Linked DNA regions of Saccharomyces cerevisiae S288C. The protein of the gene in region 2 interacts with the protein of the main gene of each other region in a biochemical or structural test. Each region holds a gene or a part of one and is shown on either strand. Other genes may lie near its edges.

Region 1 (6,450 bases), on a different chromosome or scaffold from region 2:
TTGAAAAATGTCCTTATTCCATAAATTTTTAATCTCTTTAGCATTTGACCCACATTGTTCAATAACTGTAAAATAAAGAAGTTCCTCCACTTAATTCCTTCAGGTATAGTAGGGTTAGCAATAATTTTTTGGCTTTGTTGCATGGCTTTGAAGGCGTTTATTTGTGAAGGGTCACATTCCTCATATATACCGAGTTCAATTGCCTGTTGAAGCACTGGTTTGACGGCCATACCTAATTGTTCGATTATGTCTTCAATTTCCAACAAAAGGGGCACTTCAATTTTTTCCTTTTTTCTTTTCTTCATATATTTCACGATATCCATGCTTTCTTCAGTCCTAATTTCAATCTTGGAAATATCTAAGTTATTAACCACTTCTTGGACACCTTCCAGGTCAGAGGCTGGTGTAGCGGTCAATGCTAATAATCTGTATGATGAATTGAACCTATCTATGAATTTTACCACATTTGTATACGCAGAGGAGCCAGTAGCTCTGTGAGCTTCATCGATGACAAGACATACAATATCCTTAGGATCCAATACACCCCTCTTCAAGTCATTCTCCACTACTTGCGGTGTGGCAAAGAAAACTCTCTTATTGGCCCAAATTTCTTCTCTATTTTTCCTGCTTTTATCGAGTAATATAGCAGTTTGATCCGAAGGTATTCCTGTTATACCTAAGCATGCCTTAATTTGCTGGGCTACCAAAGGTCTTGTTGGAGCAGTAAAGATTATTTTGGCTTTTTTGGTCCAACGAAAATAATTTAACATTACTGTACTGGCAATGAACGTTTTACCCATACCCGTTGGGATGGCGCATAACGTATTTTGAAACAGTGATTTGTGAACAATTGTATACTGATAATCCCTTACCTCGTAATTTGTAGGGTACACGTAGAACGACAAAGCATCGTAATCAAGCTCATGATGAGTGGGTCCAAAACTGACATCTCTTTGAATTTCTTCGTACACAGTTTTCTGCCCAGGTAAAACGTTATCATGAAGGTCTTTTTGAACTGGTACAGCACGTCTCGTTATAGTTTCCTTCACAGATTTATTGATAGCCTTTTCATACAGTTTATCCAGCTCGTCATCTTCGAAATCACTAAAGTAATCATCTGCACTAGCCATCAGAGAGAAAAAAGGACACTAAAATAAAACAGAACCGGAATGTGTTGAATAAAACTGAAGTGAGCTACTATATCTTGAATCACAATATCTTAGCTCCGTGATAGAGCATAGGGCACCTCTATTGATCTCTTCGTGATGCCCGGTTATATACACACGTAACCCCGTAAAAGCCGTTACCCGGTTTATGTCTTTCTGTGAGCACAGTAAGCTAGGAAGGTCGATGGAGAAGAAGACTCCTGTCTCATATGGAACAACCTTGCAAATTGAGTGCAATTATCCCCTTTGGAGTTTGAATTTTGTGTTAGTACATTCTCCTTTTTTAACTTGTCTTTTCTACCACATGCACAATGAAAGCAATCTTGTTTTACCAGGCGCGAAGCAAAAGAAAAGGAGAAATATTGAGTATATTTTAATTTAAGCTTTCTGATTTAGAAAGTATCATGTTTTGTTGGTGATCTAACAGGAAATCTATTTTGACCGATTATACAATGCCATCGGAAGTTACGCCAAAAGTACCTGAGAGGCCCTCAAGGAGGAAGACATCTGAGCTGTTTCCGTTATCCGGCTCTGAATCAGGAGATATTAAAGCTAATAGCGAGCCACCAACACCAGCAGGAACGCCCAATGTACCAACACGTAGACCCATACTTAAAGCAAAGACGATGACTTCGTTTGAGAGTGGTATGGATCAAGAGAGTTTGCCCAAGGTACCATTGCAGAGGCCAGTTAGACGCTCCACTACTGAAGAACTAAATAATGTAATGAATAACACCAGTAAGGAGTTAGAGGAGATTGAAAGTTTGATTTCAAAGCACAATATACACAATGTTTCCAGGAAAAAAAGTCCAACTTCTGTGGAAGAGGGAAAGGTGGCCGCCATTCATCAAAACGGGCAAAGAAGTGCATCAGATAACAAAACTTCTACAAATCCCTCCCCACTCGAAAAAAATGAGCACGAGGGTGCTGAGGGCAATGAGTCTGCTATTTCACCTTCTAATTTAGTTAACAAGTCTAATAATGAAGTGACAGAGCATAGTGACTCCGAAGACCTTACTGAAAAGCAAAAGGTACATGCTGCCCTAGATAATGAGGCAGGGGATAGAAGCCATTTTGAAGAAAAGCTCATTCCTGGAGATATGAAAGTACAGGTAGATGTTAGTAAGGACGTAGAAGAAGGCAGCCTCAATGCTCTGCCTCCATCTGGAATCACAGAATCAGACGACAAAGCTGAAAAGTTCACTAAACATCCTGAATCTAGTTTAGAAGAGCTACAGAAGCATCAAGAACAACAGGAAGAAAAAATTTTCCAAAATCCAACCGATGAAGAAAGTACTACCTCTTTGAATGAGAAACAAGAAGGCAAGGACAACATGGAAGTGAATTCTCAGCCGCAAGGACCTTCTGATACTGAAACAGTTATAGCAGCAACTAGCTCAAACGTTCCTTCACAAATTGCAAGTGAAGAGGAAAATGACGTTCCAGTGATTCCAAGGAGTAGGCCTAAGAAGGATTTTGAAGCACACGTACAAAAAGAGGAGTTGCCTAACACACAAGAGAAGCGAGTATCAGAAGAGTGTGATTCGACCCTAATTAGTACCGAAGAGGAAAGTAAAATCCCAAAAATTCCCTCTGAAAGACCAAAGAGACGTGCCCCACCTCCGGTTCCCAAAAAACCTTCTTCAAGAATTGCGGCCTTTCAAGAAATGTTACAAAAACAACAGCAACAAGATCTGCATAATAATGGTAATTCTTCAGCTACTACCGCTTCAGCAGATATTGCTAAAAAACACACAGATTCTTCTATTACTAGCGATACCACGAAGGCAGATTTTACGAGCAAATTGAATGGACTGTTTGCGCTACCTGGTATGGTGAACCCTGGACAGCTTCCACCTTCCTTGGAGAAGAAGTTGTCCTCCCCGGATACTGAATCTAAGCTAGGACCCCAGGACCAATCACAGGCAAAAACGGGACCTCTGGGCGGAACTAGAAGAGGTAGAGGACCTCGTGGGCGTAAATTACCTTCTAAAGTAGCTAGCGTAGAGAAGATTGAAGAAGATGACAACACTAATAAAATAGAAATATTTAACAATTGGAATGTTTCCTCTTCCTTCTCTAAGGAAAAAGTCTTAATAGATACTACTCCTGGTGAGCAAGCAGAAAGGGCCTTGGATGAAAAGTCAAAGAGCATTCCCGAGGAACAACGAGAACAATCTCCAAATAAGATGGAGGCTGCTCTTTGTCCTTTTGAGCTGGACGAAAAGGAAAAGTTACCTGCTAATGCTGAGTCGGATCCTCTTTCTCAGTTGCCACAGACGAACGCCGTAGGTAATAGAAAAGCCATAAGTGAGGAATCTCTGTCCCCATCGGAGGCCATCGCCAACAGAGATCAAAACGATACGACAGAAATACAGGAACAGCAGATGGAGGACCAAATGGAGGTTGATATGGAAAGAGAACTCTCAGGTGGCTACGAAGACGTTGATTCTGCCTTACATTCAGAAGAAGCGTCTTTTCACTCCCTTTAGAATCTTATAAATAATATGTATGAATAAACTCTATAGTATGTATCAAGAGAGAAATATGTGAATGACGAGCAAACTAGAGGTGTTATTAATAATAATGGCATAAAAACTAGATTTTATTCTATATATATATATATATATTTCTTCGACTTTTTTTTTTTTTACCCGCACACCCTGAATTTTGTGCTATTTTGAAGCAGAGCGTACTGAACAAATTGGCAGATTTACAAGAGGAATAACAGAGTTATGCTAAATCATTAAGTGTTTCTTGCGGCCAGAAGGGGCATTATACAAAAGATATGGTTGTTGATACTGAGTATTACGATTTGTTAGGTGTGTCTACCACTGCATCTTCCATTGAAATAAAAAAGGCCTATAGAAAGAAATCTATTCAAGAGCATCCTGATAAGAATCCCAATGACCCCACGGCTACCGAAAGGTTTCAAGCAATATCCGAAGCTTATCAAGTTTTAGGTGACGATGATCTTCGCGCAAAGTATGATAAGTATGGAAGAAAAGAAGCTATTCCTCAGGGCGGCTTTGAAGATGCAGCTGAACAGTTCTCTGTCATCTTTGGTGGAGATGCGTTTGCCTCATATATTGGCGAACTGATGCTATTAAAGAACCTACAGAAAACTGAGGAGCTAAATGCTGAAGACGAAGCTGAAAAGGAGAAGGAGAATGTGGAAACAATGGAAGAATCACCTGCAGACGGTAAGACGAATGGCACCACTAACGCTGTTGATGCAGCATTGGGCAATACTAACGAAAAAGATGACAAAAATAAGGCGAGGACAACTTCTGGTAATTTAACTGTACACGATGGAAACAAGAAAAATGAGCAGGTAGGAGCAGAAGCTAAGAAGAAGAAGACAAAATTAGAGCAGTTTGAGGAAGAACAAGAGGTAGAAAAGCAAAAAAGAGTAGACCAATTAAGCAAAACATTGATTGAAAGATTATCGATATTAACAGAAAGTGTCTATGATGATGCATGTAAAGATTCCTTTAAAAAAAAGTTCGAAGAGGAAGCCAATCTTTTAAAGATGGAATCATTTGGTCTGGACATATTACACACAATAGGCGACGTTTACTACGAAAAAGCTGAAATTTTTCTTGCATCCCAGAACCTGTTCGGAATGGGTGGTATATTTCATTCTATGAAGGCTAAAGGGGGAGTATTTATGGATACACTAAGAACTGTTTCGGCAGCCATAGACGCTCAGAATACTATGAAGGAGCTTGAAAAAATGAAAGAAGCTAGCACGAATAATGAGCCTTTGTTTGACAAAGACGGAAATGAGCAAATTAAGCCAACCACTGAGGAACTGGCGCAGCAAGAGCAGCTATTGATGGGCAAAGTATTGTCGGCTGCTTGGCATGGTTCTAAATATGAAATAACATCCACTTTACGTGGCGTTTGTAAAAAAGTACTAGAAGATGACTCGGTAAGTAAGAAAACGCTTATCAGAAGAGCTGAAGCAATGAAACTATTGGGTGAAGTCTTTAAGAAAACTTTCAGAACCAAAGTCGAACAAGAAGAGGCACAGATCTTTGAAGAACTTGTAGCAGAAGCTACAAAAAAGAAGAGACATACATGAAGTTAGCAATCATCTCTTGTATATTAAAAATTCAAAAATTCACTTTTTTTTATTATCTGTATTCAATATAATATAATGTATATAAGATCACACTAATACTGATAATTCTATTCTTGAAAGAAAGACAATAGAACAATAAAGAAGTGATTGAACTCAGTGACAATGATAATTTATGTGATAAGGAAGTGGTTATGGCTGGAGAATTATGCCACACTTAAATGATAAGCTCTTTTACCTTTCTGGGTTTAGGAATTTTTTGAGATTAATACAGATAAAAAAAAATAGGCCGAACATTAATTACTCATACAACTCAAAAAGTGCAGCGTGCAATTCTAGATCAAGAACATAGATAATATAAACAAAATAACAATGAACAAAATTCAGCAAATCAACGATAAAGAACTACAAAGTGGAATTCTTAGCCCGCATCAATCATGGCATAATGAATATAAGGATAATGCTTATATATATATCGGAAATCTCAACCGAGAATTAACAGAAGGTGACATATTGACAGTCTTTTCTGAATATGGAGTCCCTGTAGATGTAATTCTTAGCAGGGATGAAAACACAGGAGAATCGCAAGGTTTTGCATATTTGAAATATGAGGATCAACGGTCAACGATTCTAGCAGTCGATAATTTAAATGGATTTAAAATTGGCGGTAGAGCCCTCAAAATTGATCATACTTTTTATAGGCCAAAAAGGAGTTTACAAAAATACTATGAAGCTGTAAAGGAAGAATTGGATCGAGATATAGTTTCGAAGAACAATGCTGAGAAACTCATTTTGGCTAAAAAGGACCAACCAAATTAAATAATTTTTTCTTTCATCGCATATCTTATATTCATATAGCCTAGAAAAAAATAATCAATATCATATTTGTAATTCTACATCCTTTCAGAAATTAGTATACATACGTATCTATAGAAAGCAAATTAAATCTTCATGGAAGGGGTGGGGGTGGAGGAATACCTGCAGGTGGAATTGATGGGATACCTGCAGTAGAAACTGGTTGTGCCCCTTCTTCCTCTTCATCTGTACCAACTGATTCAGGAATCGATAAAACGTCATCATCAGAATCGGATCCATATGCGCCCGTGCCTTTTTCAGCACCATTGTAGTTATCAACGTGAGCGATAATAGGTTCTGAAGTGGAAGCTTGTTGAGTTGGTAAAGGTGGGGGTGGAGGCAAAA
Region 2 (5,441 bases):
ACGTTCAAGAGTCTAAGGTAGAAGTTCCTGAAGTACCTGCCCCAACTAAGAATGAAGAAAAAGCTGCCCCCATCGTTGATGATGAGGAAACCGAGTTCGACATTTACAACTCTAAGGTTATAGCATGTGCTATTGATAACCCAGAAGCTTGTGAAATGTGTTCGGGTTAATGAGGGCTAAGTTTTTATTTCTTCAATTCTATTTATCAAAATTTGGGTGTTTACTTCGAGGTGTAATTTATATTTTCTTTTGTTTTCTCTGATAAAAAAATTGGTTTCCATTCTAATGCCAAGCTAAAAGGTACCTATATATGTTTACTAATTATTTTTCTACTTTGCATATATACATAAAAAAAGTCGAATAATTTAACATGAACATTTTAAGCTGTCCTTGTAAGAAGGCCATGATACAGATTCCCCCCTGCCCCGAAATGGGGTCTAGGCAACATTGTTCTATAAAGGAACGCAACTTTATGTGGCAACATTAAAGCAAATACATATCTACTTGTGAAGCCAAAGAATTGTAATTAAATAGCACTCATTATTATTTTTGTCTTCTAGTTTATAGTTGAATATACCATCTTTTTTAGATTCCCAGGATGCGCCTATATCGTTCTTCAATGAGAAATTAGCGTTTTCTTCGTTGAGTCCTTCAATGTTCAACGTCGTTACCGAGGCAATATATTTATACAAAGAAGAGTGCTTTTCAAGTTTTTCTAGGACCAGTTTTATAAGAAGGTTGGAAGTTGATTCGGTCGATAAATTGATTTCATTGTCATCTTTTAAACTATCATAACTTTCTTGAATTAACGTAACTAGTTTTCTTTCGGGCAGAGGAGAGTTATCACTCCTTCCATCCTTTATTTCAATCTGCATACTCATTTTTTTGTTGACTTTCGTAATCACTTACTTTCACTTATCCTAAATAATTTACAGTGCGTTTTGTAAAACTGCAAGACGGTATCCGCTAATAGAGAGAAGAATACGTATTTTCTAGTAAAGAAATTTACAAAAAAGGAGGTATATTGGCATCGCTATTTTCGGATAGAATGGCAAGAGCGATTAAGTATAGCAAACTGGGAAATGTATAGAGACAAGAAATAATGAGACTCTCTCTTCAAGTATCTTTGAGCACGTATCAGATAACTAATGGTTATATCGCTTGTTACGGTCGGTGATACTTCACTTTGAAATAGATATTAGCACGTGTCTCGGAGAGAAGAAAATGAATGCTGCATTATACAAAATAGATAACAGTATTTAAGAGTCCATATTTCCATAACCAGCGACTTGCATACACGTAACATACGATTTACTACATTATCGAATACGATTAAACACTACGCCAGATTTCCACAATATGTCTTCAGCACCATTATTACAAAGAACACCTGGGAAAAAGATCGCTTTGCCCACACGAGTTGAGCCAAAAGTGTTCTTTGCCAATGAGCGTACCTTTTTGTCGTGGTTGAACTTTACAGTTATGCTGGGAGGCCTTGGTGTAGGTTTACTGAATTTTGGTGACAAGATAGGTAGGGTCAGTGCAGGACTATTTACTTTTGTTGCCATGGGTACAATGATATACGCGCTTGTAACATACCACTGGAGAGCTGCTGCGATTAGACGTAGAGGATCAGGTCCTTATGATGACAGATTGGGGCCCACTTTGTTGTGCTTTTTCTTATTGGTTGCTGTCATTATCAACTTTATATTAAGATTGAAGTACAATGACGCTAACACTAAGTTATGAAATTGTAATTCCAATATCGTAAGCGTGGGTTACGCACAAACTGTATTTTCAAGATGCTCACAAATAATTTAGTTTCATATATACGCATATATAGAAAGTATCCATCTATAGGTAATCATGAACAATAAAAATATTCACGTTTCAGGAGCTATTGTTTGTACTCATTACGTTTTTGGATATCAAGTTGAAAATCAGCCCCTTTCACTAGATATCAAGCGCTATAAAAAAATTTTAATTTCGATGAGGCATCTTTCTTTTCTCTTGTGGCTATGTAAGCCTAAGAAGCCGTTTACACATCAATGATAAATAAGTATACAAAAAGGGTTCCATTTTTTTTTTTGGCCGCTACCGGACTAGCAAGGGCCTAATGGTACGCTGAGCGTAGTACAACCAAGCGCTTGTTAGCCGTAGAGTTAAGCTCTTGACTACTATTACGGTAAAAGCCGGGAACGTGCGTAACAATTTTTTTTTGCATTAGGTTAAAGAGGCTCGCTCGCGGAGCCTTTAGAATACCGCTTAAGGCGCCAAAAGATGGAAGCTATTCTCTTTCTTTTTTTTTTCACAAACTGAGAGGGGTTGTGTATCGTTAAAAATGTTGGAAGACTTCTGACTCATCACTACGCAGATTGTTAGAGTTTTTCGATGAGAATGGCTTCAAAGAACAGAACAAAACACGATTATATAAGCCCCATGTAAAAAGAACGTCTTAATTTATTTTGAATTTAGGACTTCTTGACATTTTTAGCATATATAACAATACGATAAGTGTCTCATCAAACGTGGTTAAGACAGAAAACTTCTTCACAACATTAACAAAAAGCCAAAGAAGAAGAAATGCTTTCTCGCACAAGAGCTGCAGCTCCGAATTCCAGAATATTCACTAGAAGCTTGTTACGTCTTTATTCTCAAGCACCATTACGCGTTCCAATTACTCTTCCAAATGGTTTCACCTACGAACAGCCAACAGGGTTATTCATCAATGGTGAATTTGTTGCCTCGAAGCAAAAGAAAACGTTTGACGTGATCAATCCATCTAACGAAGAAAAGATAACAACTGTATACAAGGCTATGGAAGATGATGTTGATGAAGCCGTTGCAGCGGCTAAAAAAGCTTTTGAAACGAAGTGGTCTATTGTAGAGCCGGAGGTTCGCGCTAAAGCTTTATTCAATCTCGCTGACTTGGTTGAGAAACACCAAGAAACACTGGCTGCCATTGAGTCAATGGATAATGGTAAGTCATTGTTTTGTGCGCGCGGTGACGTCGCTTTAGTATCTAAATACTTGCGTTCTTGCGGTGGTTGGGCAGATAAAATCTACGGTAACGTTATTGACACAGGTAAAAACCATTTTACCTACTCAATTAAGGAACCATTAGGCGTTTGCGGCCAAATAATCCCTTGGAACTTCCCTTTATTGATGTGGTCATGGAAAATTGGGCCTGCTCTGGCTACAGGTAACACCGTCGTATTGAAACCCGCTGAAACAACACCTTTATCTGCCCTTTTCGCTTCCCAGTTGTGTCAGGAAGCAGGCATACCCGCTGGTGTAGTCAATATCCTTCCGGGTTCCGGTAGAGTTGTTGGAGAAAGATTGAGTGCACACCCAGACGTGAAGAAGATTGCTTTTACAGGCTCTACTGCCACCGGCCGCCATATTATGAAGGTCGCTGCCGATACTGTCAAGAAAGTCACTTTGGAGCTGGGAGGTAAATCACCAAATATTGTGTTTGCTGACGCTGATCTAGATAAAGCCGTCAAGAACATTGCCTTCGGTATTTTTTACAACTCTGGTGAAGTTTGCTGCGCTGGTTCCAGAATATACATTCAAGATACAGTATACGAGGAGGTGTTGCAAAAACTAAAGGATTACACCGAGTCACTAAAGGTCGGTGACCCATTTGATGAGGAAGTTTTCCAAGGTGCTCAAACATCTGACAAACAGCTGCATAAAATTTTAGACTATGTCGATGTAGCAAAATCAGAGGGGGCTCGTCTTGTGACTGGAGGGGCCAGACATGGCAGTAAAGGTTATTTTGTCAAGCCAACAGTGTTTGCTGATGTCAAAGAAGATATGAGAATTGTTAAGGAGGAAGTGTTTGGTCCCATTGTAACTGTATCCAAGTTTTCTACTGTTGATGAAGTGATTGCTATGGCAAATGATTCTCAATATGGGTTAGCCGCAGGTATTCACACTAACGATATTAACAAGGCTGTTGATGTGTCCAAAAGAGTGAAAGCTGGTACTGTTTGGATAAATACCTATAACAACTTCCACCAAAATGTTCCTTTCGGTGGCTTCGGCCAGTCAGGTATTGGCCGTGAAATGGGTGAGGCTGCTTTAAGTAACTACACTCAAACAAAATCTGTCAGAATTGCCATTGACAAGCCAATTCGTTGAAGTAACTCAGGCCCGAGTTGACTGCTCATTGAAGGTATGTATGATAAACATTATAGAATAATGAAAAATGCCTCGTGACATACAGATAAAATCTAACAAGGATATATTCAAAAAAAAAAAAACAAAACAAAAAAATAATAACGTGATAAACATTAATGAACAATGTATTTACATTCTTAAGCATAGGTGAGAAATTACCTTCTTTACTTTTTTTTTTTTTTTTGGTGATATTGTATATTGAAATATATAGTAATCAAATTCGTTTCATTGATCAAATTGCTCACTAGTTCTGTTTTTCAAAATTTCATCTTTATAGGTAGATACAAGTGCCAGAGAGATATATAAACAGAAAACTCTATCGATGTGATAATGTATGCCAATATCGGGACTGTACACCCACACATTTACAAGCCCACACATCCTACAACTTTCTTTTCATTTCTTGCGCTTCTTCCACTGTCATAAAATATGATTGTCCGATGCCGCAGCCTACGCCTCGGCGAGTATTCATCACCTAAGCGTCCTGTAGGCGGGGCCACGCAGTCACTAACGGAATACTCCAGAAGGCTGCTTCCTTTGGAAGGAAGTTTCACTCGGTTGTCCACCCAGCGCTTTAACTTTGTCTCAGCGAAGAAGAATTGAATAACTATAGTGAATTTCAAGAGCTAGAGGATGGTTAGGTATTAGTTCAAAACAAAGATTTCAAGAAACCAACATAGATTAAGCAGAAATGGTATGTTAAAAAGTGCTCAGATGAAAGATGACGTCCCATATTCCATGTTAAAGTTGCCATGAGTTAGTATAAAAGGCAATAAAGGTACCATAACGAGAAAAGAAAGTAAAAGAAGAAATGTTTTGCAAATTTAAGGTGGCGTAACAGCAACTATTGGCTAATATATTAATGGCAATCATTGTGAAAAGAAATGTGAAATCCGTATCGTAATTGGTTAAATTTATAACTCAAATTTAAACACTCGAATAGCTGACCCGTAATATTTTATCCCGCTTTAAGAGTTCAACGCTAAAAAATGATATCTAGCTAACCATTATGCTACAGGAACCTTTTTTGGACTATTATCCCTATCATGAAAACTGGAAGGATCTTTCAAGGACGCCATTTCCAAAGATTTCCCCCACACTGGAACCTATTTTACTAACAATTTTTAAAATGGTTTTTTACCTAAATTGTTTTTTCTCAGTCTGACGCTGTTACTATCCGTACTAGAAAGGTTATCTCCAACCCATTGTTGGCCAGAAAGCAATTCGTCGTCGACGTCTTGCACCCAAACAGAGCT

What was found. Proteins that work in one complex are often made in the same cells at the same time.
Region 1: the proteins of TDA2 (region 2) and AIM21 form a complex in vitro, tested with the Saccharomyces cerevisiae proteins (3 studies listed by BioGRID).

Annotation. Positions count from the first base shown.
Region 1 is NC_001141.2:359,267-365,716, forward strand, and holds AIM21 (Aim21p), read left to right. Parts: upstream 1-1,618; coding exon 1,619-3,658; downstream 3,659-6,450. Other genes in the region: MPH1 (3'-5' DNA helicase), read right to left, coding at 1-1,130; DJP1 (Djp1p), read left to right, coding at 3,955-5,253; U2 snRNP complex subunit IST3, read left to right, coding at 5,623-6,069; actin cytoskeleton-regulatory complex protein PAN1, read right to left, coding at 6,200-6,450. UniProt on the Saccharomyces cerevisiae protein: Involved in mitochondrial migration along actin filaments.
Region 2 is NC_001137.3:301,447-306,887, forward strand, and holds TDA2 (Tda2p), read right to left. Parts: upstream 882-5,441; coding exon 501-881; downstream 1-500. Other genes in the region: ribonucleotide-diphosphate reductase subunit RNR1, read left to right, coding at 1-170; VTC1 (Vtc1p), read left to right, coding at 1,360-1,749; aldehyde dehydrogenase (NAD(P)(+)) ALD5, read left to right, coding at 2,584-4,146; 40S ribosomal protein eS24 RPS24A, read left to right, coding at 4,877-4,879, 5,346-5,441.